2 linked regions of the Bombyx mori genome follow. The protein of the gene in region 1 binds, or shares a complex with, the protein of each later gene. Links are inferred from orthologs where the notes say so. Each region holds a gene or a part of one and is shown on either strand. Other genes may lie near its edges. The genes, in order: cleavage and polyadenylation specificity factor subunit 6 and cleavage and polyadenylation specific factor 5.

Evidence for each region.
Region 2: the proteins of cleavage and polyadenylation specificity factor subunit 6 (region 1) and cleavage and polyadenylation specific factor 5 are in contact, whole or in part, in a crystal structure (PDB 3P5T), measured with the Homo sapiens proteins. The link is inferred for Bombyx mori from reciprocal best matches to the Homo sapiens genes CPSF6 and NUDT21. Residues at the interface, in NP_008938.2 of Homo sapiens: Trp90, Trp91, Thr92, Thr93, Asp94, Glu95, Lys113, Phe114, Glu116, Asn117, Arg118, Ala119, Asn120, Gly121, Gln122, Ser123; in NP_008937.1 of Homo sapiens: Pro151, Asn152, Glu154, Pro156, Tyr158, Tyr160, Pro162, Ala163, His164, Ile165, Thr166, Lys167.

The regions. Positions count from the first base shown.
Region 1 is NC_085120.1:8,922,940-8,936,167, reverse strand, and holds the start of cleavage and polyadenylation specificity factor subunit 6, read left to right. Parts: upstream 1-4,892; 5' UTR 4,893-4,986; coding exon 4,987-5,052; intron 5,053-5,166; coding exon 5,167-5,370; intron 5,371-9,909; coding exon 9,910-10,125; intron 10,126-10,774; coding exon 10,775-10,886; intron 10,887-11,544; coding exon 11,545-11,882; intron 11,883-12,330; coding exon 12,331-12,418; intron 12,419-12,881; coding exon 12,882-12,983; intron 12,984-13,228. Other genes in the region: ubiquitin-like protein 3, read right to left, coding at 28-57. UniProt on the Homo sapiens protein: Component of the cleavage factor Im (CFIm) complex that functions as an activator of the pre-mRNA 3'-end cleavage and polyadenylation processing required for the maturation of pre-mRNA into functional mRNAs.
Region 2 is NC_085117.1:3,154,642-3,167,835, reverse strand, and holds cleavage and polyadenylation specific factor 5, read right to left. Parts: upstream 7,284-13,194; 5' UTR 7,187-7,283; coding exon 6,954-7,186; intron 6,320-6,953; coding exon 6,208-6,319; intron 5,735-6,207; coding exon 5,644-5,734; intron 5,495-5,643; coding exon 5,247-5,494; 3' UTR 4,196-5,246; downstream 1-4,195. Other genes in the region: uncharacterized protein LOC101742918, read left to right, coding at 7,561-7,666, 8,166-8,334, 8,760-8,891, 9,921-10,137; small ribosomal subunit protein mS35, read right to left, coding at 13,142-13,194. UniProt on the Homo sapiens protein: Component of the cleavage factor Im (CFIm) complex that functions as an activator of the pre-mRNA 3'-end cleavage and polyadenylation processing required for the maturation of pre-mRNA into functional mRNAs.

The sequences.
Region 1 (13,228 bases):
TTTTCAATGTTATTTATTGAAACTTACCTTATCTCCGGGTATATTTTTTGCCGACATTGTGTATCAGCTTCCTTTTCTGTGATCCGACGTCGTGTTGCACACGATTTATCCAGAGAAAGGATCTCACTGCAACCGTGAGAGCCCAGCATACGACATAAACACTTCACTCTACCAAATCACTTGGCCATCATCACAGCTCGAAAGATATATCAGAAGCACAAACACAATAAGCGACCCATCGTTTGGAGTCGTAATTAACACGATTTCCCATTGATATTCATCAACACTAATAATTTTTCACAACACGACACAAACACGACTTCTGACAGAATGTAACTTGATTGAGATTGGCTGACTTGGGCTTGACGGAAAATGGCGAGGGATGTATTTCGTCCCTCCGGCCGCACTCCCCCGCGCATGCACTCTGCTTGGGTCACATACAAAGATTTTATCGGCTTGATACAGAGGGCGCTTCGCAACAATAACATGCACCTTCTTCATTTATTCGGAGCGTTGAACTTTCAGTACGAGCTCTAGATGTCTCTGTTCCAGCATTTTCATTAAGGGGGTCTAAAATAGAGGATTGTAACCATAAAAATAACACATAATACAGTTTTTATAATTTAGTGGCTTTTAAAATCACTTACATACGATTTGTGAAAGATTAGGGCAGAAAAATTTAAGAAAATGATAGAGATGCTTCTCGAGTTCCCAACCCATCATTTTTCTCACGGGATTGTTAAAAATTAATAGAGAAAACTTGAACTTAAAAGTTAAGTTTCTAGAGTACGTAAACACGAAAAAAAAAGAAATATTGGGCTGCCAGCATGGAGTTAATAAGTACCTACAACTGGAGTGCTGTCTAATGCCGAGAAATCGGTCTCGAAAGAGAATACTTTTTGGTCGCGGTGTCCTTGTCTAATGTGGTGACCATATAAAATTTATTTATAGGACAAAATTATACACATGCATCAGTTTTGAATTTACCTTAAGTAATTCTGTGTAGCCCTACGTAAATACAAAACACGTGCTTGCAATAGTTTATTTATGTAAATTCAATTCTAAACATTTTTCGACGGTTTTTTTTGGAAATTGCTGCGTTGTGGAAAATCTAGCACTGAGTTTTATTACAAACATCATTACCTCAGTTCTATTACTTAAACTTCCTCAAATTCATCTTTAACGTCCGAATACTCAACCGCGACTTAAATATTATGTTGAACTTAATTACGCAATTCCTACTTTAATGTACTGGCTAAGTGGGCTGTGCAAATTAATATTTGACACACTGAGTGAGACACTGCAACACACATTATCGGGTGCTCTTTTCCTACATTCACATCTTCAATTGATTTAAAATTACTTGTATTTTTACTTCTGTGCTATTTTCATGACACGTGTATATTATGTCTACTAGTTGCATTTTAGGAAATAAAACACAATGGGTAATAAAATGAAATTAACTAAAATTCATTTATTTGTTATATGTAGATAATTAAATAACTCTTAAATGACAAGTCAATACACATAACACAATACACATAGTACTTGATCTCTATTTACAAAATATTGGTTATATTATTATTATTATTAAGTTCAGTTAATTTTCTGTAGTCTTATAATATATTCCTCTATTTTAAGTAAATTCTTTTTTTTCAAAGAAATACATAATTTATTTTAATTAATATCTAAGTGGACCATGAGTATCATTAAAATTTCGCAATTTAAATTTCAATTCAATTAAAAATTGCCATTTTTCTTTAATAAATCTTTTAAGTTTTTGTTTCAATACCTTAACATCTTGTCGTAATTTTGCTTTTCTCGGGGTATTTTTTATTTCTTGCGTTTGAGTACTTGATTCCTCTTGTTTGACCTTTATATAGGACATTTTCCAGAAATTCCAACGTTATACTTACTAGAAGATCCTCCTCGTTCGCTTAACGTCAGGCAAATGATATACATGCTTGCGTGCAACGCTATTCAATACAATAAAAAAAGTTCAAAAAATACCACATGATGGCTCTTATGATATGAAAAATACATTGCAAAATTATAGTTTTCACGATTGTTTTTCCAAATTTAGTATATGACATAGATTAAGTACAATTTACAAGACAAATGGTATTAAATATTATAATGAGAAAAAATATCTCACATTTTAAAAATATATGCTCACACTAGTAAAAATTTATCAATGAATCTGACATATGGAAGGATATTCCACAAACTGGAGAGGATTCTCGCTTATAACCACTTACAATACAAGTGTTCACCATGATTACACGGAAACTTTCACGATTTTCGAAAAAAAACAAGCCACAAGCTGTATCAGTGCCCTTTTAACTTCGAACTACAAACGTAAATAGACGCCATTTTTCTTTTAATGCATTCATAGTTCTTTTTCGGTGATGCCAACAATTAATCTGGCTTCCCACCAAATTCAACATGAAAACCATCAGAAATCTACGTACCTACCATTAAATTTTCCATTAAACAGAGTTCTTATTAATATAGAACAATAATTTTTTTGTTAACGAGCTTTATTAATATATGATGTTCGATTAAAAATCAATATCTTCTTTTTCTCCACCTTATCCCACTATGTGGGGTCGGCACAGCTAATTTTTCTCTTCCATTCTCTTCTATCAGCCGTCATCTCAACACTCACTCCTCTCTCTCTCATATCGTCATTCACACACTCCATCCATGTCTTCTTCGGTCGACCTCTTCCCCCTCTACCTTGCACTACCATTTCCATACATCTCCTAGTCACATGCATCTTCTCTCTACGCATCACATGTCCATACCACGCTAACCGTCTGCTCCTTAATTTGTTGTTTACCGGGGCCACTTTCAAACTTCCTCTGATATACTCATTCTTTATCTTATCCATTCTTGTCACTCCACACATCCATCTCAACATTCGCATCTCGGCCGCATGCACTCCTCTTTCATGCTTAACTTTCGTCGCCCAACACTCAGATCCATACAGCACGACAGGTCTAATGATCGTTTTGTAAATTTTACCCTTGAGCTGAAGGGGCATTCTACGATCGCATGCTGTTGCAGAGACCTGTCGCCATTAAAAATCAATATATATCATATAATCAATACTTCTTATATAATTTATTTTAATAAATTGTCATCATCAGAAACTAATTTCACCATAACTTTGTACGTTTATTTTGGACCAATTCAATTTTTGACGTTGATGGAAATTCTAAATTGTCGCAACATTTTCTAGTTAAGTTTAAGTCAAAGTCACATCGTTTAAATAATATGTATTTAGATATATTATTGTCATAAAATGTTTAAAATCCTGTAAAGTGGATTGATTTTAACCTTTTCGATAATTTTCAACAACGCCCAAGCTACTAAAAAATCCACTAACCACTAAAAGCCATTTTTGATAACTAAGATAGGGGTCCAAATTACGAGATTTTGTGGAAAATCCTCTAAGCTAGCAACACTGCTTTTTGTTTGTAAAATGCGCGAGAGGGACACCACCACTTAATAATCATTCTCTTTTCAGACCGTTTTTCCTTACATCTTTTGCTATTTAAAAATAAACTTTAAGTCATAGAGATAAAGTATATTTTTTGTTTTTATGTCAAACGAAGTAAGCACTCCAGTTAGGATAGTAACTCTATGGCTGCCAGATACTAAATTTAGAAAAAAATATCAAATGAACAATCGCGTAATCGCTTCGATGGTTTTTATCCTGTTACCTACCTATTTTGGTTAAAAAATTATCAAGAAATGATACCTTTTTCAATAGCTGATGACTGGTGCCCAAATTGAACATTTACTTCAATCCAGATTTACACCAGTTTTATGAACATATAGGTATGCTATGAAAGGTTTTAATGTATTAATAGAGTTTCAAGCAACGTTTCCAATAACTACTACAATTATCGTCCGTAGGATACAAATTATACATATCAAATATAGAACACCTTGATCAAGTTGACTTTTTTGTAATTGAGTAATTTTGTCTATAATAATATATAAGATCGCCAGAAATATCATCAAACATGTTTGTATTTTTAACACTCTTATTCTACGTCAGTTTCAGATCATTGCTCATTGGGTGGCAAAAACCAGTGCTTACTTTACTTACTGATCAAATGCGAAAGACAATTTGCCGAGAGTTTTCTCTTATGGCCTCCCCCGTACGTGTTTTTAAAAGTGTAGTTGGCTACTATTCATATTCTTTTAAACTTTTACTTTACTTTTTTTTGTATCGGTATAGGCTAAATCAGTTTCATAAGTAACAAAAGTAATAGTTATTTTCAATTTTAAACCTTCAACTATTACTTATATGTAGCTAATATAATTTTTTAAGCCTTAAACCTAAAAAATAATAGTTGTTTAATGTACATAATTTTTGTTTTTTTTTTTTTTTGTACACTAAAAATGTGCCCAAAATAATTTTGAAAACATTTTCAACACGACCATTTTACGTGGGAATTCGAAAATATTGTGTTAGCTTGGCAACATTGACCCAAATTCATGGGGTCGGGACTTTTTGGCGGGAACGCGAGGAGTGAAGTTGTGTGATTTGTTTTATTTTGTCTATTTAGTGTTTCTTCAGGTTTAAATGTGTAATAATGGTGGTTTATTAACTGTTTAATATCTGTGAAAGTGCACAAATGTGGGAAAATGAAACAAAGCTGCTGGACGTAACTTCTCGGGTTCCTCCAAAAAGTCCACTAAAAAAATCTCAGTAAATGACCACCATTTTACTGCGATTATATTTCATCCCATATCATCTCATTTCATTAAATTTCATCCCAGTTGATTAATGTCTCAAATTAATCATCTTCATTTCATTTCACTCCATATTATCATTTTTCATAAAATTAAGAAAATAAAGTAAAATAAGACATGACTTAAAGGTCTTAGTTACCAGGTCATAAAATCTCTTAAAAAAAAAATTTCATGGGGTCGTAAGTAGGAGGTAGCATTTTTTCACAACTTCGTAAAATGGCGGACGGCGATGTCGATATAGATTTGTACGCCGATGATATAGAATCCGATTTTAATCGCCAGGTAAAATTTACACTCTCCTAATTCAGTACACCTAAACCTTACAGATAACTCTTATAGAGAAATCGTAACAGTTGTTAATCTATTTTTGTCACGATGAATGGCGGCATTTTACAGGATGAATTTGCTGGCGAAAATGTGGATTTATATGACGACGTGATCTCAGCACCAGCTTCGAAGCCCGAGGACGGTGACGGTCCTCCCATCATTGCTCCAAACCAGCATCCACCTGAGGAAACTAACGGCAACGCCTCATACCACGGCCCGGTTCACGGACATCATGGCCGCCGTTTTCAACTTTACGTCGGCAACCTAACATGGGTTCGTACTTTTTTGTCCTAGACTATTTGTAAATATAAGTACGATATTAGTTTTTGCGTTGTACTGAAAAACTGATATCTTTTGAGTTGTCATCTCGTCTTTCAGGGCTTCATACTATCAATAATTATTGATTTGCATCTATTAGCCGCCATGCCATGATAAAAATAGCACATGCAATTGAATTTGAGCTATCGTTCATAAAGTTATTTAAAAAAAATGGTTTTTGGTTAGCATAAAGCTAGATTAAATAGTTTTTTGCGTTTAGTTCAAGCTCAATAATTGTTATTATGATGGCATGTTAACTTCAATAAAACAAAATATGAAGTACATACATTTATTATTGTGTATAATACATAAAATATAGTAAATAATAGCTAACAGTTTTATAGTAACAGATCTATGAAACTATGATAGTTATAATAAAACAACGTACTTGTAAATAATATATTTATAGAAATATTAAAGTAGTATGTACGTTTAAAAACAGAATGTGGAGAACTTAAAAACCTGTTCAGATGACAACTCAAGCAACAGCAACCAAATGGATCTGTTGTGTAAAATGAGTTACGAAATATTTAATTTTTAATATTTGTTAGGATCTACTTTTAATTTTGCAACACACATTTATCTTTTATACAAATGTTAACAAATTATGTTTAAAATTTAAATTCACAAAATCACTGCACATTAAGTTTTACTGATCACATAGATAAATGTTTGTTGTACTGAATTAATGAAACAAAAAGCAACCTATATCTTATATTATGTGTTAAACTAATAATACCAAGAAAATACTGTATTTATTTATAATTATTTTACAAAAAAAGGCACAGTCAATCTATATTGGTGAAGAGCTAAATTTTGATAGAAAACAAGTGTTTTTCCATGAAATTGTATTATGTACAAATATCAAACAAATGTGTGCTTTAATGTTTCACGGGAATTTAGTCTGTCCATAACTAGTAGTAGATAAAGGTGTGTACGGCTCTCAGTCTTAAATAATTATAAGTTAAAAAAAACAATTGTTAGTTTAAATTATCAATAAACCTGGAAAAAACTGTAACAATGAGGTACTTGTTAAATTGATTTAAAAATTGTTAAATTTGTTTTCAATTGTTTAAACATAGGATTAGTAATATAATGATAAACTTTGCGAAATACATAATCAGAAACTATAAGTGAATAAATATAATAAGTAAGCGCGAGACCTGTCATTACAACTGTTATGAGATTAAGCAGGAAATTGTATGTTTAACTTTAAAACTTGAAAAATCATCCGGTTTCAGTATAAAAATACTGTTAGTGCTATAATTATGTACTTGATCAATGTATCCTAAGATGTTTTAAAATACCAGTCTTCAAATACATATATTAATAATTATAATATATAGTTCAAATAAAATATTTTTGGGAAAACTAAAAAATAAAAAAAAGTTTGGATTTGATACTGGTACAATTCCATGGAAAAGCCCTTAATAAATTAGTACATTATTTGGTTGCTAATTGTTATCATTAAATATCACTTTATTAAAATTATATTTTTGTTGTTGATGATGGTAAGTATAAGAAAATTATACAAATGGTTGATATGCTGTGAGTTACGGATTTTTGTGTTTTAGTAAAATTTAACTTGGAACTTCATGTTCAAAGTCATGAACTTGCAGTTAAATTCTGCTAAGAAAAAAGCAAAAACCAGAATTTTCTTTATTTTTTACTTCATGATGAAGAAATGACTTGTTTTTGTTTTTAAAGGCTTGTACAATTACGATCTGTTGAGGTGAAACTGAAATTTTCATAAAAATATCACGAGCTTTACATGTCAAATTAGATCACTATTTTCCACTTAAACTTTGAAATGTATGTGACATTCACTAGAATTTTATTTTCTTAATGAAGTTGAGAAATTCCGAAAGGACAATTGAATATCAGAGCTATTTACAATCACACATGGTGATACAGTTTGAGTTACGGATTTAGAGCATTTACCGATTAATTAATGGTAGGTGAATTTTGAAATCTAGCAATGCATTAATAAATGGTAAAGAAAAGGTTTGTAATGAAATTGGTTGTATTTAGTTAGTAACTCCTTCATGGTAATAGAAAATTAAAATTGTGTAGAATATAAACTGTTATACTTTGCTATACTTCCTCAAGCTCTGTCACCGAAACATGTAAATACCTCTCTTATGGCCATGTAGTCTCATCTGCACTATCACTTTGGAAAATTTGAGACAATCCTCAAATTCTACAAATGATATAAGGTAGTTTTTAATGGTTTAAACTTGACACCTGTCTACGTAAACTGCGCTTTCTGTAAATATAAGTACAAAAAGAAATTGAAAAAAAAAGATAATTATTTAAATTTTGTGCCACATCATTTCTAACTTGTTCAAATTTGCTGCGTATGTCCATTTAAATTTATCAACCTGTGTTTCTATTTTTTGTTTTTTTTTTGTCAAGCCGTTTATTTATGCTTCTTTTATATTTTGAAACTATGATTGAAAAATGCACTCTTGCTATTTTACCTGGTGTATTGTACATTACGATTTGCATTTAAATTTAATTTTACATTGATTTATGCTACCCTCCCAATGTTACAAAAGGTGAAACTAAACAACTAAAATATTTTGTAACATAACATTTAAGTTAAATATGATTTTAGTTGTTTTAGTAATGCAATTTATTGTAAATTATTTCATGTGGAAAGCATTACATAACCTTTCATAATACTGCTAAGTTATATTATATTCTTCCGTTTGTTTTGTACTTCTACTTTTGAGGCTATCTGTTGTCGAGATAGAGCCAAATCGATAGCAAAAATATACAGACAGTGAGTTTTACAATAAAATCATATATATCATCATATCATAAAGATACTAGCAGTAGAAAATGAATATCATCAAAATCGAGTTGGCGTAGTTTACGTAGATGGATTCTGTTTGTGTACTTAAACAACACAGATTGCAGTTATATTTTGCATACAAGTAGATGTGGGTTTGGTAAGATTATGTGAGAGATGAAGTATGAAAGGATGTATAATCTTATTTATAATAGTTGATGTACTAATTAATATAAATACCATTTTTGCCCATTAACTACACTACAGTAACTTGCTTAATTATGATGTAACATGTCTGCAGCAACAAGTTTTGAAACCGTTTGTGTGATTTTGTACGCACACAAAATTTTGATATATCGTTCCGAAAATGTTGTTGTGTTTATTTATTGAATATCCATAAATTTGCGGTTTAGTCAGAAAAACAGTTACCTGTATCAGATTATTGATAGGCTAAATTAGCAAAAAAAAAAATAAACATTACATAGTCATCACATAGTACATAATAGAATCAGTAGTGTAAAATTGGCTATTTGTCCCGCTTGTGTTTGATCAATAAATTGGGATATTGAGCTGAAAGTTTTCACTTTCTGACATCCCCATCTGTAATGATTTGTTTATTCTTTTATCAGGTTTGTTACGAGGTAAGGTAATTGATTGTATTGTATTTATAGTTTTTTAGTAATTATTTTAACATATGTTTTGCTATTTTTTTGCATACATCTGAAGATTTTCGATACTTATGTTGAAGAGATATCAACATTCTTGTGCGAAATGTAGAGGCGAACAATAAATGTTGTAATACGTAACAAATAAAATAAATAAATTATATAACTCAAACAAATCGCCTGGTCCAAACTGTTTCGTCTGCTCTGTGCAAATTAATCTAAACAATAATGTAGGTAGTTTACAAAAAAACCCCGCGACATCAACTGATTGTGTAAATTATAAATAATATTTAACACTTTTTGTATGTGTGTATTTTAGAGTATTTATTTTCTTTGTAAAGGATACTTTCAACAGCTGTCGTTTCAAGTTTTGTTAATTGCATTAAATCTATCTAGTATCAGTGCATGGATACGATAATTTTGTTATCTGATTTGCACACAAAAAAAATCAGTGTGTGTTTAGCCACATGTTAAATTTATTTCTTCATTTGACTTGTGAAATACCATTTACAAGTAATGTGTTCATGTTATAATTACCTTGTTAATGGTTGTTTTCCTTCTAGTTTTTTTTCAGTATGTAACCGTTGGAGTATTCGGAGTTGTAAAAAAACTTTATAATGCAAATTATCTGTGATAAAGAAATAAATAGTATGATCACAAAAAAGCTCTTTCTTTTCACCCAAAGCTCTATTCCGGCATATTTAATGATTTAGTTGATGAAAAGTACATTGTAGATTTTTAATTCGCGTCAAAAGGTACACAAAAGTATTCAAAATATTTTTATTCACGTTAATCATCGGATCTACTATGAGACGTAAGCGCGGTGTTGTAAATTCACTTTCTCGATAATTCGGTGTTAATGAAAAAAATCTTAATACGGCGTGTGAACGGCGCTTTAAATTGAACCTTACCCCGACCGATTTTGTTTAAGTGGCATGTAAGTGGACTGGATGGCATAATAAATGATGTATGTGACTTGTGTGTATTGGCTGCCTGTTTGCAGCGTGGCTGAGTTTTGTGTAAAACCTTTTCCAGTGGGCAACGGACCAAGATATTGCGAACGCGATCTCGGATGTCGGTGTCTCCGATTTTCAAGATGTGAAGTTCTTTGAGAACAGAGCCAATGGTCAGTCCAAAGGATTCTGCGTTATATCTCTCGGTTCAGATCAATCAGTCAGGATGGTGATGGAACGTCTTTCTAAGAAGGAGATACACGGGCAACATCCAGTAGTTACATTGCCTACTAAACAGGTAAGGTCAATGTTAACTGATACAAAATATGAGCATAATAAGTAGACACTAGATAGATAGTTTATGATTAGGTACTTATGAATTGCACAAATAGTTTCATGATGAATATACCTAGTAACCTTTCCTAGTAATAGATTAGTTTCTGCAAATATGGTTTCGGGCAATGCGTGAGTCGCGATGAGGTGTTGAAACGTGGTTTAAATTAAAACAAAAAAGGAATTTACATTTTTTTTAATAATGGATCTAAAGTGGTTAATAAACCTTTTGCAACATTAAAGCTTTCAATAATGTCCGAATCGTTTTCACGGAGGCTACTCATTGAAAAAATCCGAAAAGAAAATTTTGAATCTTAAACCACCGCGACTTTGTAATGGTTATGGAGATTGGCTTCTGTTAATTGATTTGCAAACCATTTGGTAAAATTGAGGAGTAAATAGCTTCGGCCATATGATAGCTATTGACTTCCACATGGTTTTGAGATGGTGGACAGTAGTATCTAAGTTAGTATTTGTAATTTTTTTGTCCATCGGTAATTAATATAGTCTACCGATATTAATCAAAATAATATAATAGTTTTAGCAGCGTAGGAAATATATAGATGAATTAATTCGGTTCAGTGAAAGTAAGTAAACTTTGATAATGTCTACAGGCGTTGAATCAGTTTGAAAGTCAGTCAAAGACCAGGTCGACGCCTCCTGGTCCCAATAATCCTGGAATGAGAGGACCCCATCCAGGCGGGCCGCCTGGTCCTCATCCCGGAGGTACATATTGTAATCGTATACTAATACGTCTCGATAAAATATTCGAAACATCAAAAGTAGAAACATATCATTATTATTCTAAAGTCGTCGTGGCCTAAAGGATAAGATGTCCGGTGCATTCGGAGCATTACTCTAGCGATACACCGGTGTTCGAATCCCGCAGGTGGGTACCAATTTTCCTAATGAAATATGTACTTAACAAATGTTCACGATAGACTTCCACGGGGAAGGAATAACATAGTGTAATGAAAATCAAACTCGCAAAATTATAATTTGCGTAATTACTGGTGGTAGGTAGGATCTCTTGTGAGTCCGCACGGGTAGGTACCACCACCTCGCCTATTTCTGCCGTGAAGCAGTAATGCGTTTCGGCTTGAAGGGTGGAGCAGCTTTATAACTATACCTTAGACCTTAGAACTTATATCTCAAGGTGGGTGGCGCATTTACGCTGTAAATGTCGATGGGCTCCAGTAACCACTTAATACCAGGTGGGTTGTGAGCTCGTCCACCCATCTAAGCAATTTTTTTTTTTTATTGACTAATGGGTAGTATATGGTAACTAAAGGGGTGATACCCCTGATCACAGCGCTTATAACGACGCCCAAATATGGTGCACTTGAAAACATAAAATCGTAAGAACCCGTTACTATATTCGCAGAATTTTTTGGTGGGGGACCGAACGGTCCAGGTGGGGGCGGACCTCGTATGATGCTCCCAGGTCCGGGTCCGCACCAGCTTCGTGGGCCGCCGCCGCACCACATGGGCCCACACCAGGGCGGGCCGCATCCCATGCAACATCAGCCGCAGCCGCACCAGGCCCCGCCACACCGGCCCCCTATGCAGTTTGCGGGCCCTCCGCAGATGCAACGCGCGCCGGGCCCGCGTCCGCCGCCTCCCGACTGGGCTGCGCGAGCGCCGCATCCTATGTCTCAGCCCGCGCCTCATTATGGACCCCCCCATCATGGAATGCCGCATCAGATGCCACCACCTCATCCTGTATGTATATACTGCACACGTGATTACTATTAGGCATCCACATCATCCAAATTTATTATTTTGTATAGAATAAATGCAATAAATTTAGATGCCGTCAGATAGCCGACGAAATTCATGTAAGGAGGTCTTTAAACATACTTTTTCGAATACTAACTGAGCATTGGTAATAATATGACGGCGTCGTCTCCTTAGGCCTTCTTAATGAACTCTTGATTGATACGAATTTCATCCTCATGTGTACAGCTCATCTGCTCTCGTATTACGTGATCGTAAAGAATTATTTTACGGCTCATATTGGGGGAACTCGCCCCTTGAATATTCGCTTTGCAAAAATTTCAGATTCTGGAACAGGGGGCTCGCAAATTGCTGATGTAACATACAAGCCTATGATTATAATTATTCTTTATAGTAATAATGAAACGTTATAATTAAAATAATGAATGTTCAGCAACCCGGCGCACAGGGCATGCCGCCTCCGCACCAGTTGCCGCCGCACCAGCCGCCGCGGGGACCGGCGCCCATGCCGCAGCATCCTGGTCAGTCATATATTAGCACAGAAACTGACTTTTAGACTGAGGGTAGGACCTCTTACGAGTTCGCACAGCTAGTTACTACTACCCTGCCTATCTCTGCAGTGAAGCAGAACTTGTATCTCAAGGTGGGTGGCTACATTTACTTTGTAGATGTCTATGGGCTCCGGTAACCACTTAACATAAGATGGGCTGTGAGCTCGTCTACCCATCTATGCAATAAAAAAATATATATACAGAAACGAATGCATTCATGTTCGTTTTTCATACGTACCATGAGTTCACAATCTGAATATCGTGGTTCACGGTAATATTTGAGATACAAATCTCGATAACGTTAAAATAATAGTCTCGCTCTTTAAACTGGGCGCGTCATTTGAGAAAAGTCGTCATTTATAATAATTATTGTTTCGTTTTTATTAAATTACAAATTTTAATTAAGTAATCAATTTTCATTAATGTTAAACAGTAATACCTGGAGCTCCAGCACCACACGTGAATCCTGCGTTCTTCAACCAGCAGCCACCGTCGCAGCCGCCGCCAATGCAGGCCCCGCAACCTGGACCACCCGGTAAGTTATAGCTTTTACATAAATAAATGATGGTATCTAAAAATCAAAATTTCCAGTATAACGCTCAAACCATCGTCTCATGTTTTGACATCACTATCATCGGTGATGACTCTCTTAATCAATTGCATATAAGAATACGAATCGAATATATTACGTAAATTTGGATGAAAACGTTAAGATCTTTACAGAGGTTAAATTCGACAGATACATCTTTGTGATCAGCGAACAAAAACAAGTTGCCTTAT
Region 2 (13,194 bases), on another chromosome or scaffold:
GACAAAATACAAATCACTGTCGAACTGGATGTTTCTAAGAAAAGAAAAACCGCTTTTACAAAACACAACAATTTCAATCAACTTTATCTCATTCCGATCCGTTTTTTTCACATAGTGAGTATTAAATTGACTATTTAAAAAAAAACTGGCAACAGTGGTAGTTTTCCAATTACAGCACAAGAGCGCATTATGCGGCATAATGCTCAACGTTGAATGTTCCAACTACAGCAACGCTTCGCACAATCGAGCACTCTCAAAAGTACTGCTCTCGCGTGATACTCGCAATCGATACCGACTCAGTGACAGAAAATTGACAAGTGTTTTTTCTTTAAGTTGGCATTGATCGAAATTTTGTTTATATTATCGTTAGTAATATTATTTAATGTTGAAAAAAATTGTAAGGCTTTAGTTTCGTCGTAGTTTCTTAGAAATAATCAATGTTAATTAAAACTGTGCTAACTTAGTGCACTCTGCTGATGCATTTGAAAACTAATTCACGTTCCAATTAAGCTTCAGCATAATTCGGCATTGTGCGTCACTGAGTCGCATTATGCTCTGTAATTGGAAAACTACCAGTGGCATCGCAAAAAGTCTTCGTACTGGACCAGAGGTTAAACTGTATTAAATGATTTGCAAATGACATTCCATTCATGCCTTCATTTACTCAAATGTTTTGGTACAATTATGTTGATACCTCCACCATCTGACGTTGGCAAAGTTGTTATTAAATATAAGTAACAAAAGCCAGAAAAAAAAAAGAGGATTATAATGAAAGTTCATTTTACCACGACACTCTTCGTGTAATCATATCTCTCATTTTGACATGTCTTCCGTCTGTCCTGGTTGTTGATGTACAGTATTTTACCGTCAGATATATTGTAATTCGATGGAGTATTAAAGAATTTAACACATATCTCTTTTTGGATATCCGTTAATGTTGATATTATAATATCTTGTGAATGTAAATCTGAAATAAAGTTTAAAATTCGTTTTTTGTTTTTCTTAGCGGTCCTTTTTTTGATGGCAATACTAACAACTAGTGGGTGTACAACAAGCGAGACATTAAGTTAATGTGGCTTAATAAAACTACACTCTCTGCCAGTGCAAATGCGAGTCTCGCAATGTTCGAAAAAAAATTAGGAATTTAGTTGACGATTGTTTGTGGAATTACACACAATATACAAAACTGCGACACGAATTACTGCAATGCGATTTTGTGCGGTAAGGCATTTCTCTTCCACAATATGGGTGACAATTCCTTCGACGACCGACAACCGTACTGAACGTATTGTTACGCCGGTAGTCACGCCATCTGTTATCAAATAACAGAAACAAATATTCAAAGAACCAGCAAAACCGAGAACGCTCGAAAGTGTAACGCCATCTATTATCAAATAGCGGAAACACATATTGGAAGTTGGAACGACTCGTCGTATCGGGAATGACCTCGATAATTGTAGAGTTGTCGTATCGACACGAAGGCAGTTAGTAGGCGGTTCTACTCGAAGCGGAAGAAGTGAATTGCGAATTTTAAAGTGTTCCATGTGCTCTAAGTGTTGAATAGTTTTAATCTGTACTTCGGTGAAAGCTTTATTTATCCCGAGTCCCAGCGCGTAACAGTATTTTGTAAACTAGGTCGTGACATGGGTAATAAAAAGAAGTGCGCACCTGTTATAGCCGAGGAGATACGGGAAAAAGAAACAAAGACTGCGAATTCAATTCGCTAGTTCTTGCAATGCGTTGAGGGATCTCGTAGGTTTTTACGATGAGACGTCAACACTACGTGAAGAAGGACCGATATATATTACCTCTCTTCTACTTACCATAGTCTTTATTATTGATCGCATAATGAACTACCCCGTTTGGCCATAACTCCCCTCTTCCCAAGCCCAAATAATCAAACCAAACTAACAATGCAAACAGCATTTCTCAATTTTCCTACATTCAATGCAATAAAAAAATGTTGATAAAATTTTACGATTACTTTTTATTCAATAATTGAAATTACCATCAAATTGAAAATCGAGTACTTGCACTCCAATGGTATCAAACGTGGCCAAATATTTAATTATGTCTGGTGCACTGCTCAACTTTATTTGAATGGAAGGAAAACTGTGTGCTTAGTGAGGGGTTTTTAACGGTTTCGATAGCGTAAAAGTTAACTCTTTGTATGGAGTTCGATGTTTGCGTCCGTTTGCCGCTAGGGGCGCTGTTCCAACTGCATACAAATTCGAGTTAACTTTTACGCTATCTAGAACGTTAAAGACTAAGCACACTGGTGGCCCGAAGGCCTCTCCAGCGTCGCCAGGGCAGGTGAAGGAGCGCGGGCTCAGCGGGGAGGGGTGAGATTTACTAACAGCAGCTCGAGTGCCTCGGCAGGAGACCAAACACCTCAACGACGCGACGGCTGCTTCGCGAATGCATCTACTATTGAATCAGAAACGCGACCCGCCGAGAGGATCCGGCGCAAAACTTCGAGGACCAATGCTATTTTTGATAAGTACGGCTACCTACCTGTGCTATTCCTGCCTAAGTAGATCAGATAGGTCCATATGAACGTATCTGGAGCGTATCAAGTCTTAAATCGTAACCTTCAATCTTGTGTAGTGGTTAAGGTGGTCTAGAGCAATCGCGGTAGCACCTGACTTGAATTACGGTTTCACTTCGCGTTTTATATAAAATAGCAATTCACTATTGGTGAAGTTTCGAATACTTGACAGTTTTCACGGTGACGAGCGTTTGAAATGAATTCATCGATGCATTCTCGATGCCTCCAATGAACACTAACTCAAAATTATGAAATTTTCGTTTTTCACGCAAATCGCTTCACTATTTTAAAAGTATTACGAATTCATTATTGATGGAGTTCGAAGCAAGAGTAAATCAGCTAGTCACACAAGAAAAAACCATAAATATATCTGCAATAATAAAAATTTTATCAACTTTTTTCGTTTAAACGCTCCTCCTGTAAACCTACGAATTTGGAGTTAGAGTAGTGTTCATTGGAGGCATCGTTCTGTAGACTACCGTCAAATTTCCAATTAAAAAAGTAAAAAAAACAGCTCTTTACTTCAATTTCAATAAAAACGCAAAATTAACCCGCGCTTTGGCGGTTTTTAAGAGAGTTTTCAATTTTAACTATTTCTAAGACTCGAGAAATCAGAAGAAAGTATGGAGACTCATCTCTTAAAGTATAATGGGACTACAAGAGTAGTCAGTTAAACTTCCTCGGAAACATACAAATGGCTTCAATAGTTAATCTTAGCAAATTAATTAACACAAACCATCCAAGATTCGCTGCGGATACTTCTTTGAACGTATAGCATTATGATTTAATCGACATTACCAAAGTCAATTTGTTCACAATGTACTTAAATCGTTTCAATCAAACAATCAATGAGCCCTTTTTCTGGACTATTAGGACTGTTAATTTAAGTTTTTAAAATTTACAGAATATCTCTCATTTCATTTATTGCCTATCGGCATAGGAAGGCATAGGCCTCCTCAAACGTCTTACTTACATTGTTGTCTATCTTTAGCAGCCCTAATCCAGTTTTAGGACCCGCTGTCAACTTTATCTAACCCTTAATTTCCCAATTGAATCACTTATAGTCCGACAACAGCAATAACTAAATAAAAACAGTTCAAATATCACAGTCAATATCACAGACAACAAATTATTCTTTGACGTTCACAGTAAACCACTTTCTCATAGTACGAATTATCACTTTTTAGACAGATATTACTTATTCATGACGATTTTGTTTAACAAAATTAGTGAAAATCTCAAAGTGCTTTAAATATACAGCGTGTGATTTTTTTTTATGAATTTTCGAAAATGAGAATACATAAATCAGAATGTTTAGCACTTAACTTCTTTTGAATACTAATCACATGTCAAGCAAAACCTAGCATTTTAACAAATACAGGGTGTGCTGTACTTCCTTGTACCGGTATTATTGGCTTTTTCTAACATAATTCAGACAATAAGAATTATTATCGAAAAATTTCACTCGAGATTAGGCACTCCCTCAATATAAGCTTGATAATCACTTAAATCTACAAAAAACAAAATATTTTAGAACTACACCCTGTATGTATATATATACAACTTAGAAACTAAAACAGTCTTCTTTCTTCAGGTACAAAATGAAACAACCTGTAAAAATTGTGTTACATAAGTTTTAGTCAAATACGCTTAATATTAAAATACATATTATTAGTTACAAAGTTTCTTCAAGTTAACTTTCAATTAAAATTTTAATGAATCGGCATTAAATTAGACTAAGTTCAGCATTCGGAAATTACATATTAGGTCATGGTCAGTTTGACGTGTGGCCTTGATGTCAAAACTAGCTCCAGTGCCATTTAGCATTAAATCAAACTGCTGTTTTATTTCTTGAGCTGTAAGGTCTAAATTGCATCATAACAGCTGACCTAATTCATAATTGCGAATAATCAGATTGGTATGCAGTCTGCAACTGAGTCAATTTAAGAGGACAAAGAACAGCTTGGATCTTGGATGCTGAGTGTGGTCTGAACGCTGGTGAATTTATCTCTTTCTGATGCTCCAAGTTTGGGAATGAGAGAATGGTGACAACTCAACAATTCGTTCATTAAATGAAGTCCCTTCTCTGCATATCCCTCAACAAATATCTGTGAGCTAGCAGTTCTAAAGGCATAAGATCTTCAAACACACTGAAGTATGAAGGTATTTTTAAAGCAAATCAAAGTTATATAAATCATGACTGCAGTTAAAAAACAAATAAATTGTCAAATTGAAGTTGTCAAAAAAATTAAGGAACCCCTTTTGTACACATTGTCCCAAGTCCCCCAAGTTATAAAACAATACGACTCTTCTGGGAAATCTCAAGATCCATACCGGTCCCTGCAACATCTTATGCATCTCTTAATAACAACACTCACTTCAGATATTTTCTGTCGCACATAACTATTTAGATATAACATGACAATTTTCTTTTATTGACAAAAATATAGAAAACCTTATCTTAAACTATAGAAAAAATGTCCATTTGCATATATCTATACAAGTTCAATAATGAAGAAAGCCTAAATTGTCCTATGGATTTGGAACAATAATTGGATGTTTTTAGGTAAACATATTATGGAAGGTGATATCCATAGTTGCCTAACACTGAGCTTCGTTGTGGTCTAGCTGCAGAAGTATTGCAGAAACTCATTCCATTTAAACTTTCTTCATCAAACTTCACTTTAAATACCATTTATCACATATAAATGAAATTAAAACGACATAAACTCTGAGACAACGACGATATTATAGGTCCGTATCCCTGAGCATTATCGTACAATTCAAACAATGGTGCCGCAACCAGCTTGTAATTCTTCGGTACAGCGAACAGAGCTCTGTCTTGCAGTTGAACCAGGAATAGGCGCTTATGCTCCTTTGGTTTCGTGATGTGAGGCGGAATGTATGGATATTGCGGTGGTTCGAAATTCGGTCGCCACCAGTTTCCTGTAAGTTTACAGAAAGTTTACATATATTAAGTTTACATATATTATTACATTTTTTTAAAACATAAAATTTTTTTTTTGCTAAAACGTAAAAATAGTCAAAATTCAAGCTTTCACCAGTTTTTCAAGCACTGTTATAGCATCACTAACCTATTGTGTCTTCAATGAGCCATTCCTGTTTGACACCGTCTTGCCTGCCTAAAGTCTCTGTGAGAAGCCTCTTCAAACCATCAATTTCATCCTGGAATTTTAAAAAAATGTAGTCTCGCATTGTTTTTATTAGGAACATCTGAAACACTTGAATGTGCATCTCTTTTGATGGGTACTCAACATACAACTACATAATTTAGATTCTTTACAAACCATAATTATTATTACAATACTGAAAAACTAGAGAATACAATTACTGCTCAACAGAAAATGGGACATAGCTCTTATTAGAGTAGCATATTCTGTTGTTTTGCTCTATATGATATAATACTCAAAAATTATCGACAATGATGACTATATTTAACTTTGTTGGCAGCCTCTTGAGTTGCAAACCCCAAAGAGGCTGCTCAAGTTGAGAAGGATCTGATATTATCGTATGATTATTCCCAGTTAAATTGCGCTTTAAAGATGCAAGCAGAGGCTATTCTGTCTACAAGAGGATCTAGGCTGACTTCTATATTTGTAGTTCTATAGTATAAAGGTAATCCCTTAATCTAGATATACCTCTCCAGGATTCAATTCTCCACCGGGCAACTTGAAAAACGCAGTGCCGAGTTGCAGTAACAGCACATGAGGGAGACCATGTTCATGTACTAATAACACACCTTCGACTGACCTGCAACGGTAATTAAATCCCATCAAACTCACAACTCATTAACGCAATTGGATGAAGCCACAGTGAACCATAACAGAGTTATCAACACTCAATAGGTAGCCCCCCTAATTGTAGGTTAGTCATGTGATAAACTCAGTTGAAGAAAGTGGGTAAGGGCTTGATTATAATGTGGCTCGTCCACAGCTATTATTATTATTATATATCAATACTAGAGGTAAACATAAATGTAAACTGTGTTATCGAGTAATAATATCAAGTTTCCAGCGTGCAAAAAGGTTTTAGGGAAACTGTTTCATCTATACATGTTTAAGTCATGTAATCTACCTGCCATAATTTACAACACTTCACACATTAGTAGTGTTAAGTCTATATTTACAGTACAAGCCCTGATTTTTTTGTCGATTCTTTTCACTAGTGGACCTAGATTGGCTAAGTATATGAGAGAGCTATTTAAAAGCCTAATAAGATATCAACTGTATGATTTTGTATTTAATGAAGTTCTAATATGGTTAGGTAAGTAAAGTGATATGTATGTTTATTATTTTCATAATGAATAAAGCAAACATGTATAGTGGGTACTCTTTATAATCATAATGGGTCGTTTCATACATCGGCTTTCCTAACATAACCTTACCTTCTCATTCCGATTTTACAAAACTCCTCTCGCATCCTCTGGAACCTCGCCGGGACCGACGCGTCTTTCTCGAACAGCGGCTCCTTAGTTCCGAACGTGTAATTCGTAAGCGGATACAAATTAATAGACCTATTGAGAGTTAAATTCATGCTTGGGTTTTGGCTTATTTGATGTTGTAGTCCTGGTCGCGCAGGCCACTGTTTGTTACCGGGAGGCCCTTGAACTGCTGCCATCTTATATTTGATCTTATTTTCAACAAAACCGCGTATGCAGAGATGATCACAACTAAAAATTGTTTTACCAAGACAAACAAGCGTCAGTATTCGGCCATTTAATAATAAGAATTATTAAGAATTATAATTAGTGACGTTCACGGGTGTGTGTTGTAACTCCGAGTTGTGATTTGGCAAAAACGACATCGGCCAATACTCGCCTCGATTTAAGCTTTTAGTCGATTACGTTAAAAAAGTTCTTACAGACTTGTCCAAGTCAAACCTTAACTTTGACAGTTTGAATAATTTTGACAGTAACTAATTTTTGTTTTGAAGTAATGTGCAATTGCATTTAGTTTTGTTTTTTTTAGTTTTATTGTGAATAATTCATAGAAATGTCTGAGCATTTAGAATTCATATCAGAGAATATATCACAATGGTCTGCAGTTTCGAAAGTCACACCGGAAATACAGAAAAAGGAAATAAGACCATTCGTAATTTGTATGTACACATTTTTTTTTATTGCACCCATTGACAATTTTAAAGAAAAGTACTAATAAAGAAGAAGGTTGAAAAAATAAGAATAGATTATTATTAAATTATAGTTAAGAATGCTTAAACTCCAGATTATTACTAGAAACTGTGAATATACCATGGATTCCTTAAGCATTATATTTTCATTGTACACTTTTAACAAGTGGATTGTTTGGAAGAGCGACATCTGGCAACTTGAGCCTGAAATAAAAAGGACTAAATTAAATAATAAGATTACACACATAAGTATAGTAATTTAAAAATATGATATATAAAAAAAAAATTGTCTTAGACCAATGTCTAAGACAAATTGCTAAACTAATTATGTATCACACGATATCTTAATATAATATGTACTCATGTTATTTAGACGGACTAGAGCGATTGTGTAGCAATTAAAAAAGATCTTGCAACTTAAGCAATTTAAATTAGCTTTTCTTAGCTTATCTTATAATTCTAATTGCAGTGTCTCTTAAAGAATTAGAAGGAATAGAAGATGAGAGATTATCGAGTCTAATGAACGCAGAAAAGTTTGCTGCGGTCAGAGCTATCGTCAGGCACTTTGCAAGACTCCGATCGGCAACCAAAAGCTTATGGGGCCAAGATGATGTAAAAACATTTTTAGATGGGCTGCGGTTAGTGCTTGTGAGTTTACTTTAGTGATAGTTTGGCTCTCATTATAAAATTAATGTGGAAACCATGAGAGTAATGGGGTTAGCTCAATTGCAGTAATTTAATAAAAAGGAGTCTTAGTGAATCCAATCAATATAAATATTAAAAATGTTATCTGACTTAATGTAAGTTTTCTAATTGTTTTAAAAGGAACAAACACTTAGTCTAATTGAAGGACAATGAAGGATGATGGTTAATCCCCAAAACATTTGCAGGGATCTTTTTTTGCAACTGACCATCTGGCTTTTGATTAAGCTCTCTGCTTCACGGTGTTCTCCAAGTACCATGACATGTCACCGTCCCTACCTCTTCCCCCTCTACCTTGCACTACCATTTCCATACATCTCCTAGTAGTCTGTAATAATATTGAAATACTTTTAATTTTCAGTTTTTCCCCTGAGTGTACGTCTGAGCTGTCAGTGTTGCTATGCACAGAGAAATTGTATGAAAATATACCAAAACATTTACGGATGAAACCAGGTGTCGTGAGCTTACAATGGAAAATTGATGTTTCTTTAAGGTATTTTTATGGTCTTTTATTTGATTTTTCCTCAAGTCAACCTAAAGTATATCTATGATCTGTTTACTCAAATAAAACATTTAGAAGTGTAATTTAGTTGGTAGTAACATATAGAGCTATATGTGACTAGGAGATGTATGGAAATGGTAGTGCAAGGTAGAGAGGGAAGAGGTCGACTGAAGAAGACAAGAATGGAGTGTGAATTTGTCGTCGTGGCCTAAGCGATAAGACGTCCGGTGCATTCGTGTTGAGCGATGCACCGGTGTTCGAATCTCAGGCGGGTACCAATTTTTCTAATGAAATACGTACTCAGCAAATGTTCACGGTTGACTTCCACGGTGAAGGAATAACATCGTGTAATAAAAATCAAACCCGCAAAATTATAATTTGCGTAATTACTGGTGGTAGGATCTCTTGTGAGTCCGCGCGTGTGAGTACCACCATCCTGCCTATTTCTGCCGTGAAGCAGTAATGCGTTTCGGTTTGAAGGGTGGGGCAGCCGTTGTAACTATACTGAGACCCTTAGAACTTATATCTCAAGGTGGGTGGTGCATTTACGTTGTAGATGTCTATGGGCTCCAGTAACTACTTAACACCAGGTGGGCTGTGAGCTCGCCTAACAAACAAAGCAATAAAAAAAAATAAAAAATGACGATATGAGAGAGAGAGAAGTGTGAGAAGAAGAGTGTTGAGATGACGGGTGATAGAGGAGAATGGAATAGAAAAAATCGCTATGCCAACCCTACCTAGTGGGATAAGGTGGGGACAAAGAAGAAGAGTAACATATAGAGTTATGGGACCAGTTTTAGTGTAACTTTTTTGACATGATAACCAAAAATAATAGGTCACGAGTCGAGATCTGAAGGAAAAAAAAGTAAAAATGAACAGAAGCGACTTTTGGAAAAGGTATTCCCGAAAAAAATCGTATCTGTCAGTCATTAGCATTGCCCATGGCAAATGACAAATGTTACTAAAGCTACTTCACTAGAGCAGCTAGATTAAAGAAAAGTAATAATTTTTCCATTTCAGTCAATCAACAATTGAAACGGAGAATCCTTCGCCACAACGCAGGAAAGAGATAATGCACACTTTGACACATGTCATAGTGACATTTGTCTTAACAGACGGTCAAATACGGACGTATCGGCTCTCCATTAGTCAATTCCACGAACTGAGATATGTCATAGCAAGCGCCTTAAAGAATATGATAATTTTAGAACGCAGGAAATGCATGAAAAAAGAATGACACATGTTTTCTTGAGGTTTTAGGGAGGAATGAACGCGTGAAGGTTTTTTTTTTCGTTTACTAAGAGCTAGAGTGTATAGTGTATAAGTAAATCGTTTCTACCTACTCATAAAGACTAACTAAAAGATTTTATTGGGTGCCCAAGGCGAATGTAATCTTTTTTTTTATTGCATATATGGGTGGACCAGCTCACAGCCTACCTGGTGTTAAGTGATTACCGGAGCCCATAGACATCTAGAACGTAATATAGATTAGTTATAGAATATAATCTAAAATAAAATATCTCTTTTTGTATAAAAACTGAACTTAATTCTTCCATAATGAATGATAAAGATTGTTGAATAAAAATCGAACTCAAATTTTTTTGTTATAATTAGCGTAATTACCGGTGGTAGGACGTCTTGTGAGTCCGCACGGGTAGGTACCCCCGCCCTGCCTATTTCTGCCGTGAAGCAGTAATACGTTTCGGTTTGAAGGATGGGGCAACGGTTATAACATACAATATCGATTTAGAACTCATATCTCTTTACGCATATTTGATTGACTACGAAAACATTGATGAAAATCTCGTCTTGAGGATAAATTGTCGAAGACGCTAAATTTCTTTGTTAAAATTATTGTATTATGATGGCGACAATAATTTTATTTGTCAAGGAATAAAGTTGTTTTATTAATGATAAGAAAAAAAAGGCGTTCGAAGTGTTCTTTTCTCCCGTCTTCTTTTTTTTATTATGGCAATTGTCTTCTTGGTTTGCCATTATTTCCAGTTTCGAGTTTATTTTATCTTCAAATAAGCGATATTATGTTAGTAGGTATTTATAGTTAAAATAATATTTATATGAAAAATGTTTTTGAGCGAAATATTATGCAGTGGATTTATCCGAGACTGTTATCAATTGGCATAAAATTAAATGAAAGGAGATGAGACGGGATGAAATATATGACTGGCGTCTTTGTTTCATTAATCCACAAGTGTTAATTTTCACAGATGCTAAACGGTTAAGGTGCCACTATTAGTAAAAGCTTAAACATGAGGAAACACTAATTTAATAAAATAAAACAATTCACATATTGTACATTAGATTACATTATATCGCACCTTTAGAATTGAATTGCCCTAATCCAAAAGTCTTATTATTTGGTAAACACCAAAAACGTAATCGAAGAATTGTAATTTTTCAGTTATTATTAAGCTATTGCATAGCTTTTATCCGACCGAATCAAGAAATTCCGTAACGAAAATAAAACCTAACCGAACCGAACCTTCAAATCGAAACGCATTACTGCTTCACGGCAGAAATAGGCAAGGTGGTGGTACCAATCCGCGCGGACTCACAAGAGGTCCTATCACCAGATATTTCATCCCATCTCAACTTGTTTCATTTAATTTAATTCCGATTGATAAGTCTCAAATGTATTTTTTTTATTGCTCTTGGAGGCACAGACGAGCATACCTGATGGTGAGTGACTACCATCGCTCATGGACTTCAGCAATACCAGGGGCAGAGCCCAGCCGCTGCCAAGCTTATAAATCAATTGCATCTCATTTCATTCCAACAAATTTTTCATATTACTATTTTAACTATAACATCACATATGTAGTTCAAGATAAAAAAAATTGAAACTGGCAATAAGGGCATATCAAGAAGCCGATTACCACATTGTACTAAAGTTGAATACCTATCAGTTAATAAGAGGGTTTGTTAATTTCAATAGAACAGAGTGCGACGTAAGAGACTAGTTTCGCTATCTCTATCTAACGTGAATGTTAAAAGAGATTGAAGGATCAGTCAAGATTACATATGTACCGCATGCGTTTGAAATTCGCTAACGGTTTAATTCGATTTTTCTTCTTTTTTTTTTTTTTTGTTATAAATAATTTTTTCTAACTTCTCTGGTACAATCTGTTTACGGTCGGCGTCATGTTTGGCCAATGTTCTCGTGTGTCTGGTGGATAAAATCCTAATGTAGAAATTCTATTATACATAACGATTTTATTCTATTCTATAGTAGAATGGCTGAATGTGAAACTTTTATTGTATTAATTTAATAGTGTTTAAATATTTACATTGTTGGGCATTGTAATTTTCTATAAGATTTTAATGTATATTTTAAATGTTTAAGTTTGAAACATTAAGTTTAATCTGTAACCTGTAACATTCCAAAATAAATTTAATAAAACAAAATATATCCTTTTTTTTCTTTGTACGCTAATATGTCGTACCGGATGGTAAGTAGACTACGGCCAAGCCTATCAGCGAGAATTGTGCTTTCAATCATTCATTGAATCATCAATGTATAATTATTCAAAACTTTGTTAAGCAAATGCTTAAAAAAAACATTCCGGGAGTGGTTTTGGAATTGGTACTGTACTGTTACTTTTTTTTTTTTTTATTGCTTGGATGGACGAGCTCACAGCCCACCTGGTGTTAAGTGGTTACTGGAGCCCATAGACATCTACAACGTAAATGCGCCACCCACCTCGAGATATAAATTCTAAGGTCCCAGTATAGTTACAATGGCTACCCCACCCTTCGAACCGAAACGCATTACTGCTTCACGGAGGAAATAGGCGGGGTGGTGGTATCTACCCGTGCGGACTCACAAGAGGTCCTACCACAAGTAAAAGGCAAAGACATGCATTCACTCACTTTTACCAATAACCTGTATGTGTAACATCAGCATTTGCAAACAGGTTGTATGGGATATTCAGTTTTTATATAAAAAGCACACAAAACCCTCACAGCAATATTGAAGATATCATTGAAATTCGAAATTATCAACTAATCAAGACTACATAATTATCATGATACTTGTTGTTGAAATCCTCATGTTACATAAAACATCTTGTGTCAGCAGAGCATAAAATACTATTAATTCAATGAAAATCCAGCATTAATTTGGAACATGCCAACACTTAAATTTAATAACATTAATATTAATACCACAAATAAAACAATAATTATTATGTACAATCTACAATTTATATTTAAATACAAAAGCATTAAACTAATTTCTTCTGTGGCAAGCCAAACAGCTTTCTAACGGCGATACTAT